2 linked regions of the Drosophila melanogaster genome follow. The protein of the gene in region 1 purifies or fractionates together with the protein of each later gene. This does not show direct contact. Each region holds a gene or a part of one and is shown on either strand. Other genes may lie near its edges.

The links.
Region 2: the proteins of Chchd3 (region 1) and Mitofilin purify together in Drosophila melanogaster (affinity purification with mass spectrometry, with the first as the bait; one large-scale study listed by BioGRID). This does not show direct contact.

The regions. Positions count from the first base shown.
Region 1 is NT_033777.3:31,051,804-31,055,639, forward strand, and holds Chchd3 (Coiled-coil-helix-coiled-coil-helix domain containing 3), read right to left. Parts: upstream 2,113-3,836; 5' UTR 2,030-2,112; intron 1,949-2,029; 5' UTR 1,911-1,948; coding exon 1,784-1,910; intron 1,505-1,783; coding exon 960-1,504; 3' UTR 813-959; downstream 1-812. Other genes in the region: Alp4 (alkaline phosphatase 4), read left to right, coding at 1-121, 182-609.
Region 2 is NT_033777.3:22,019,032-22,024,841, reverse strand, and holds Mitofilin (mitofilin), read left to right. Parts: upstream 1-1,767; 5' UTR 1,768-1,910; coding exon 1,911-1,955; intron 1,956-2,212; coding exon 2,213-2,442; intron 2,443-2,575; coding exon 2,576-3,049; intron 3,050-3,109; coding exon 3,110-3,258; intron 3,259-3,321; coding exon 3,322-4,017; intron 4,018-4,119; coding exon 4,120-4,140; intron 4,141-4,233; coding exon 4,234-4,392; intron 4,393-4,449; coding exon 4,450-4,738; intron 4,739-4,804; coding exon 4,805-4,982; 3' UTR 4,983-5,109; downstream 5,110-5,810. Other genes in the region: CG6028 (uncharacterized protein), read left to right, coding at 1-476; mRpL35 (mitochondrial ribosomal protein L35), read right to left, coding at 634-1,145, 1,210-1,234; Idh3b (isocitrate dehydrogenase 3b), read left to right, coding at 5,809-5,810. UniProt on the Drosophila melanogaster protein: Component of the MICOS complex, a large protein complex of the mitochondrial inner membrane that plays crucial roles in the maintenance of crista junctions, inner membrane architecture, and formation of contact sites to the outer membrane.

The sequences.
Region 1 (3,836 bases):
GACCATTCCCACGCGGTCACCTTTAATGGTTACGCGCTCCGTGGAGCTGATATCCTGGGGACAGCTAATTCACACGAGAAAAACGATCCCATGTTCTACGAGACCATCTCGTATGCCAATGGTAAGCTAGACCTTAGCATTATCAGAATTTTCTGGTAAAACAAACTTTGAATGTTTTCAGGTCCTGGCTATTGGGATCACTTGGCGAATGACTCCAGACCTCAGAACAGCTCCAACATGTGGATGCCCCTGAAGCATTTTACCGCTGAGGAGCGGGCTGCTCCCACTTATCGCCACTTGGCGACGGTTCCCAGAAAGGACGAAACGCACGGCGGCGAGGATGTGGCTGTCTTTGCATATGGACCTGGTTCCAGTTTGATTCGCGGGGTCTTCGAGCAGAACTACTTGGCCTATGTGATGAGCTACGCGGGCTGTTTGGGTCCTGCCAAGGACTTCGATGACTCCTGTGAGGATCACAAGGATGGGCAAAAGGATAGGCCGCTGGACAAACCCAATCCAAAGAGAAATGGCGCCACTGTTGTGGGAGCCTCCTTGATCCCCATTTTGACTGCTGCCACTGCGGCTATTTTGCGCGGTCGCGGGCTGTAATTAATGTTGTTTTAAATATATTAATTGTTATTAAAGTTTATAGACGTACGGATGGCTTCGTTGAATGAGAGAGTGAGCGAGATGGAGGAGTGATCGTTGCAACTTAACAAATAGATACACTGAAAAATATGCAATGTTTTTTATTTTTGTCATGGTAAACTTGAATAGAATATCCCGGCCATAAAAACGTCGATGGATTGATTCATTTAAGTTAGTTTACTATCGCTCGCAATGACACTTTTGCTTAAGTTTTGAGTACATCCCCATCGATCGCTCAATCGTTTATACAAAACCCATAAGGGGCCTCAAAGAAAAGTCAACAAATTAGGACAAAAGGATTTGCCAGGATCCTAGGCCGCCTTGGCAGGAACGGTGGCCTTGGAGGTCACTTTCGACGACTCTGGTTCCGCATCCAGCTTCTGGACGCGATGAAGATCGATGCACTGTCGGAATTGGGCCACCTCCTCAATGCACTTCAAGGTCTCCCCGGGATGCGCGCGGTAGCAGGCAAGCAGCTGGGATTTCAGGTCCTGGCAGGGAGGCACTTTGTGCGACGACGCGGTGCTGACGAATCGCTTGTGCACATTTTCTACAGCATTGGCGTACTCCTTCTCCAGGATGGTGTTGGTCTTCTTGAGGTTCTCCTCCAGCTTCGCCATGCGCTCCTTCCACAGCTCGTCATTCTTGATTAGCTCCTGGTTCATCTGGCGCTGCACATCGGCCGCGCTAATGGTGTGTCCTCCTCCCTGGACGTAAATGGGCACTGCAGCGGGATAGGAGGATACTTTCGGAGCAGGAGAAGCAGCTGGCGAGGATGCGGCTGGCTTGGCGGCAGCCTTCGTCGTTGGCTTGGGCACTGGTTTCGATTCCTCCGCAGCGGCTGCGTGCTCACGAGCTGAATTGGACAAGATATAAATCAATAGTTTAATGAAAAAAACATACAAATAGGAATGGAAACTAGCCAATGAAACCAAAACTACACCCTTTCAAGTGCGTTTTTTTTTTGTGAACAAGATAGAAGAGCCACTCTCTACAACTTGCTGCTGTTCTCGTTAACGAGTTTCCACTGTGTTTGGCGTAAACATTTGCCCGTTTTGACAATTGTTGCATAACACCGAGCAGAGTGAAATGGTCATTTCCGGATATAACTCCACAATGCCATTGGATTGCTTACCCTGCTGGGATATTCCCGCCTTCAGTCGCTTGACCACATCGTCGGATATATCAATAACGCCGGCAGGAGTTGGGTTTTCCATTGAAACGGTTCGGGGCTCGCGGGATTGAGACTGTCGGGCTCCCATCTTTGAAGTTCCTCTAGCTGCTGTTCGTGGAGCAAAACCTGGAATATCGGCAATTGGTTAATCGGTGTCAAGTCTTCGCAAGCTCATGCATCGCTTCGATCTGTTTATTTCGGCCTTACCCTTTTCGGTGAAAAACTACAGGGCCAACCCAACAAAAATAAGACGTGCTCAGAGTGACCTTAAAGCGCAAGCACGAAAAAGACGCAAAACAGCTGACCGGTAGAGTAGCCAGATTGTTCGACCAGGGCTGGTTGTTTTTGTATATTGGCGTTGCCAGATTATCGAATATTCAAATCCTTCACTTAAGAAACCTTCATTTACGGTGGAATTTAGCTCCACAATTTCCCCCAACTTCTGTTTGACAACACAATAAGCAAATCTGATGAGTCGTGTTATTATTGTTTAAGCTTTTTAATGCCTCGTTCGTAATTGTTATTGTGAATGGTGGTGTGGCTTATTTAGTAGCTGCTTTTATTCTGTTCACACATACATATTCCATGTTCGGTTTAATTCGAAATACTTGCTAATTACATAAATGTGGCCTTATCGTGCACTTATCGATACATCCGTCGAATTCCGATCCAACGTACTTTTGAAATGTTTCATGAACCGCTTCGATTTCGATTTCGATTTCGTTTGTGGTTATTTTGTATTCCATATCACTGGTGGTTTATTTTTAATGATTTTCTCTCATATCGCCCATGATACACTCGAACTCGATCCAATTAGTATAATTAGTTATTAGTTCAAAATTCTATTCTCAATATACATATACAGTTAATTATACAAAACCTTCGAAATTACTATGTTCTCAATTTGTTAGTTTCTCTATTTCGCTTATGCTGAATGGACTGCTCGCTCATACAAGATCATTTAGTTCTCCATTTCTAGTGGCTCATAATCGCTATGAATCAGTTTGTCGGGCTTCGATTTCGTTTCTTTTCTATCAATAAAATGCTAATGGTTTAGGTTTAGTACTCTGTATGCTAGGAGGAAAATCACACATATGTATATATTTTAATTTTATACTTTTGGGGTTCGGATATTATTCTTATGTACACTCATCACTAGGTTCTCAATTCTCGGTTTGGGGAGGAGGATTGGGGCTTCTCCACGGTCGCGGATCCCCTAATCTGAATGCGCTATATGGTCGTGTTTACAAGGTTGGTCGTTTGCAAGGCGTGCGCTTCGAATGGAGTTGTGTTCGAAAAATAAAAGTAAAATGACTGAAACAAACCGATTAGAAAACAAAACAATTTGTAAGAAATATCACGTAATGTACTTTTATTTAAGTTTTAGTGGCTTCTGCGTTCAGTGATCCGATTTGTGTTTTGCATTTCTTTGATTTGTTAGTTCTTAGCCAGCCGATCGCTGTGGGGTTTACATGTTTACGTGTTCTCATAAGATATAGTTTATATTAATGTATATTCATATTTTTACCCATTCATTATCTCTTGGCGCATTTAGAATTTAAGTTTTTTTTTTGCATTTTCCTTTTTTATTTTACGGTTTGGTATTACTTATAAACAAATTTCATATTATAGCTATAGTTTATTAGCTAGCGTTGTGTAACTTTCCTCCGCAGGGCCATTACTTACATTGTTAAATCGAAACGTTAATGCAATTGTTTTGTTGTGTATGTCTAACGCAATTTATATGCTCTCTATCTTAGTTACATGATTTTGTTGCGTAAACAAAGGGCTGCCCCAACTCCCAGCTCCCACATCTCGCATCCCATTTGCCCACCGCTCGGGAAATGCGCGCTTAAGTGTTTAAAAATCGGAAAGATATATATGAACACAGGCAGCAAAGTGCAGACCACGAAAGTATATATATATATATATATATATATATATATATATATATATATATATATATATATATATATATATAAATATATATATATAGATAGGGGAGTAGGCGGTA
Region 2 (5,810 bases), 9.0 Mb from region 1:
AGGTTGAGCTGGTCTGTGTCATTGGCAAGGTCGCCCGCCAGGTGCCCAAATCGCAGGCCATGGACTATGTCTTCGGGTATTCGGTGGCCCAGGATATCTCCGCCCGCGACTGGCAGAAGGAACGCAACGGTGGTCAGTTCCTTATGGGCAAGTCGATGGACACTTTTCTGCCGCTGGGACCGGCTGTGGTGCACAAGAGTCTGGTGCCGGATGTTTACAACTTGAATCTGAAAACCTGGGTCAACGGCGTGGAGAAGCAGAACGGCAATACCGGCAACTTGATCTTCAAGCTGGACGATGTGATCAATCGTCTGTCGCAGACCATTACCCTGCTGCCCGGCGACATCATAGTCACCGGAACGCCCAAGGGCGTGGGCATGCATCGCACTCCGCCGGAATTCCTTCAGCCCGGTGATGTCGTGCAGTCGGAGATTGTTGGATTGGGCAAGCTGTGCAACAAGATTGTGGCTCCCTAAGATTGTCAACTCATTTGGCTTGTTGTGTTTGTAAAGTTTGTGTTATTAGTGAAACAATGGCATTTAATAGATGATTTTGTAGTTTTCAATAGATAAACTATAATCAGATATTTTGGTTTTGTTTAATTCAAGTATGTAGTATCTTTGATTAGCCAGGTCACACCTTAAAGGTCTTTGACTGTGTGGCGTAGTACTCGTTGCGGCTGTGATAGGGCTTATAGGGATCGTTGATGAAATGCTTTGGGCGCCGCCAATAGCTGGTGACCATCTTGTCCAGCAGCCAGCTCTGCGTGGCATTGGTGAAGACGTGCTGCTTGAGGCGGCGTCGTAAAGCTGCGGATTTCTTGAAGAGCTTCTTTTGGCGACCGGAATGGGTGCGTATCCAGGCGCCCCAGTCCAGGCGCTTAAAACGTTTCAGTACCGCCTTGACGGTCTTTCGTTTACCCTTCACCAGCGAGAATTTGGTCACGTTGCGTGTGTTTGATGGTGTTCCTGTGGCTGCTAGCACACCCGGCAGCTGCAGGAGCTGGTGATGAGCAGGAGATGCCAGTGATGGCGTGGGCAACAGGCACGGACGGGATAGAGTCATCAAAGTGGCACGTTGTGTCCGCTGGACCAGAGGAACCAACGAAGATGCAGCCGGCGACTGGCGGCAAACGCTTCGCAGCGCTGAAAGTTAAGAACAATTAAAGTAACGTAAACTTGTAAGCCCTATTAGCTGACTTCAACTTACCGCTTGTCACAAAAGTTCTTAGCATTTCACTTAAAACGACAAAGATAAACCTATAATTCCATACAAAACGCAGGTGCTCTTCTTCTTATCGAATCGCGTAACAGTCAGCTGTGTGCCATTCACAGCGAACAAACATAGATTAGCTTGCTATTGGAGATGGGAACCGGTCATCATAAGAACTATCGCAAATGTTTTGGGATTCACCCAAGGAATGGATCAAGTTCAATTTTTCGTTGATAACAATTAAGGCAAAAGGATCCCTTAACCATGTAATCCATTTGTAGAACACTGACAATTCTGACAATTTAAAACTTGTTATAAAAATTGTTGCTTAAACTTATGCGCCCATCTCCAAATCAAATGTATTTTGACTGGCCTATCGAGTACATGCGTATATGTTGCCGACACTTTTTCCATCAAAACACAAACCAAAATTGAGTGATCAAATTCGAGTGGCGCGGGCAAGCGAAACGAAAAGGACGACGAGCAGCACGCAGGACTCGTGTGCGTGTGCGTGGGAGTGTGGGGAATGGAAGAGGAAGCAGCAGCACTGGCCAGCCATTCACCCACCAGCGCTGACGCAGTCGAGCCAGCTTCGAACGAATTGGGCAATATTTAATTCACGCCGCCGGGACTTGAAATTTACGGTAGCCGAAGGAGCAGGAGCACGAGCAGAGCAGGATCACAGCAAAATCAACACCATGTATCGGCTAGCGGTGCGAGATCAGTGCAAGTGCGCCCTGCAGGTGAATTTTTGACCCATTCATTTCTAGCTATTTGATAACGTGAAAATCGATCGTCACGTTGCCCCACACCCCCGCGCGCCCACAAACAAGCGGTTGGCGAAAATACAACAAGAGGCGCTGGTTATGTCATCTACCAAGCCCAGGAATTGGGCGAAAAGCTCCAAAATTCCAGTTGACCAAGGGCGCGGGGGTATCAACGGGCTTGCCAATTTCCTTAAATGTGATGGTCCTAAATGTATTACCTTTCATTGCAACAGCGTACGCTGCAGCAGACGACCGCAAACAACAGGCAATTCGGCGGAAGCAGCAGCGGAAGTGGCGGCCGGGAACAGGGCAGGCGGCAGCAGGAGGAGCAGGGACAGCAAGGCGATCAAGGATATCAAGGATACCAGAGCCTGCCACCGCATATGCGCGAAGCTGGCTTCGGCAAAGTGGTCCTCTTCGTCTCACCACTGGCAGCTGTCGGCGGTGTCATCACCTACGCCAAGTAAATAGAGCCACAATAGAGGTTTAAGATAAGGATAGGCAGTCCACCTGTAGATCAACAAAAATTCGTACACATTTTATTGCACCTGAAATGCTTAAATGAACCATCGAATAATGTAGAAATCCTTTTCCAGATACGACGACGACTTCCGCAAATTGGTGGAGAAGAATGTACCCGGCGCAGGATCCGTCATCAAGGTGGCTCTGCAGGAGGAACCGCCATTCAAGGGCATCACCAAGAACGTCAACGATCAGATCGATAAGGTCAAGTCTGGCATCGAGACAGTGACGTCCACGGTGGACTCCGTTACATCTAAGGTGACGGGCCTGTTTGGCGGCGGCAGCGGCGATGACAAGTCCAAGAAGTCCAAAGTGGAGCCCGTGAAGGCCACTCCTGCTGAGGAAAAGAGACCCTCAAAACCAAGCGAAGTCAGCAAGACTGAAGCGAAGCCAGTGTCGAAGCCAGCAGCAGCAGCAGCGCCTGCGCCCGCTGCCAAGCCTAAGGATAATCCGCTGCCCCGCGATGTTGTTGAGCTGGAGAAAGCCATCGAGCTGTCTGCTCAACTGGCCGTCAAGGAGTACAACGTCGCTATTGGCGTTTTGAAAGGGTGAGCAATTCTCGTTAACTATTCGTTGCGTGATTTTAAATTTAATCAAATATCGTTCAGCTTTAATGACGATGTCCGTAAGGTTGTAGACAAGGCCGTAGAGAATGGAGAGAACTCTCTTTGGACCACGCTGAAAAATCGAGCAAGTGCCCGTGATACGGCAGTGGCTACGGCAGAGCGAGCTGCCCGTGAGGCTCAGGAGAAGATTGGTAAGTCCATTGTTTGTTAAATAGATTCCAAATTTCAGTAACATTCCCTTCTATCAACTGCAGTCGCCTGCGAGATCGCCCTGAGTGCTGCGGCAACGGCCCAAAACGCAAAGAAAGTAGAGGCAGTGCGCGACAAGATCAAGAAGCTTGTGGACCACATTGGCAACGTAAAGGACGAGCTTTACCGGCACAAGGACACGGCCAGCGTGTCAGACAAGTACTGGCGGAATGTGGAGAAGGCGCGAAACTACTTCATTGACGAGATCGAGTCTATCTTCCCCGGCCTCAGTTTGGCGGATAAGAAACTTAATCTGTCAAAGGAGGACCTAGACTTGTTCATCCTGCACGCCTACACCCATGTCCTGGCCTACCAGAAGGAGCTGCAGCGCTTGCAAACCGATGGTGAGCTGCGCCTGAAGAGAGCTATTGACTCGGTTCGCGGTGACAACGATTCGGAGGCTTTGCGCGCCCAACTGGAATACCATTTGGAGGCCGAGCGGCGCAAACTGGCCGTGGAAAATCAAAAGAAAATCTTCCACATCCACGCCGAGTCTGATAAGCTGCTGCGCTTGCAGCTCAAAAAGCAAGCAGAGGCCCACGCCGATCATATAAAGGACATCGTGGCGCAGCGGGAGACCGATCTGACGCGAAGCTTTAAGCGTGAACTTGAGGATAAGCTGGCGACCGAAAAGGCCAACTATAAGTTACAATTGGCCGGGATGCTCGGCAAGCTGCGCGGAATGGACGCGGCTCTGGCAGGTAAGTTATACGTTTTAAACGATATCGGTTGAATGTAGCTAGTGTAGCGTGGCTAGATATATAATGGTTTTCAAACCTTTTCAAAACATGCTGCTATATTAGAGATAGAGGATGAGTTTCAAGGTATATTCACCCTATATGAAGGGTAGTACTTATACCAACTTATTCTTGGTTTAATCAAAATGTTTATTGACATTATATGCAACATTTTTGCAGAGCGTGCGGATGCAGAGCGTACTGCCAATCAGGCGCAGGCCCTTTGGGCCGCCTGCCAAGCTCTGTGGGCCTCCGTGCGCGCTGCCACTCCTGGCGTGCACTATAAGGATAGGTTGCGCCCGTTAAAGAACGAGATCAATGCCATTGCCAAGGTGGCTAGTAAGTTGAAACGTTTCCCACATTTCGATTTCAGTTGCTAAATGCATATGCTTACAGAGGGTGACGACCTGGTGGCCGCTGTGCTGGAAAGCGTCCCGAAGGAGGCTCAGGAGCGCGGTGTCTATCCAGAAGATGCATTGCGCGAGCGTTTCCTGAATGTGGAGCGCGTGGCGCGACGATTGGCTTTGGTGCCCGAGGAAGGAGCCGGCCTGCCCATCTACTTCCTGTCCTATCTGCAATCGCTGTTCATCTTGCGACCCGATAATCCCATATCCAAGGACGAACTCGAGAACAAACCCTTCGACTATAGCAAACTGGACACCTACGATATCCTAAACAGGGCCAGGTGAGGCGATTGATTCATCTATCACTAGAGTTATATAATATATATTATATATATTATGTTTCACAGGTACCATGTGGATCGCAGCGACTTTCTGCAGGCGCTCAAGTACATGAATCTGCTGCAGGGTGCATCGCGCAAGATTGCCGGCGAGTGGATGAAGGAGGCTCGCCTCATGCTGGAGACTCAGCAGGCGGCCAACACCTTGATGGCTCACGCCGCTGCCAGCGGACTATTGTATTTGTAGACTACGTCCCGTGTCCCCTTCCTTCAGAAACAAGATGATACACTTACTATTTGTTATTAGTCCAGGAGAAGATGGTACGATTACCAACAATATGTAATTTGTCCAATTAGCGATCACAGTTGAAACGAAATAGCACTTATATACATATATTTGTAACATTTTGTTTAGCTTCAATTATACAAATTAAACATAGAAACCATCATTATAAAATCCAAAACATAAATACTCTGGGAAGATTTGTAAAAAATTCGATACCAAGGCATGAATGGAATATGATATATTACTAAAGCTGAAATTGGCAAGCTTTGTGTTTCTGAAGAACAATGTGATTAGGCCATAAATAAACATAAAGAACATCCACTTGTTGTTTAATTTAGCGAAAAAAATTAATATAATAAATAAGTTGACTAAAAAGTATGCTGAATGTCAAAATTCAAATAAAATGCATTGGCTAAATTTAATTTCTCTGTTCTGAAAAGAAAGCATGGTAGGCAAGGCAAATGTATTCAAAAACAGGTTACTATGCGGTTGCCGCCAAATTTATTCCTTAAATAATCGTATATGTTCGTTACTAATTTTCGAACGCCAAAATCGCGATAGTTGGTCGTTAGCCAGCACTGGACGCGCCAGTTTCGTGGGCGGCTATCGCCAGCCCTGGTAGTCAGAGGCAATCAGCTGGTTTGCGTGGTCGATTTGGTCCTATTGAAATTTTTCGGTTTGGCACCGGAGCAAAAATCACATCGCAATCAAAAATTTCGCGTGGCCAAAGGACACACTTTTGAGTTTGGATCAACAGCCGGGAAGATCTAGCTAACCGAATAGCAAAAT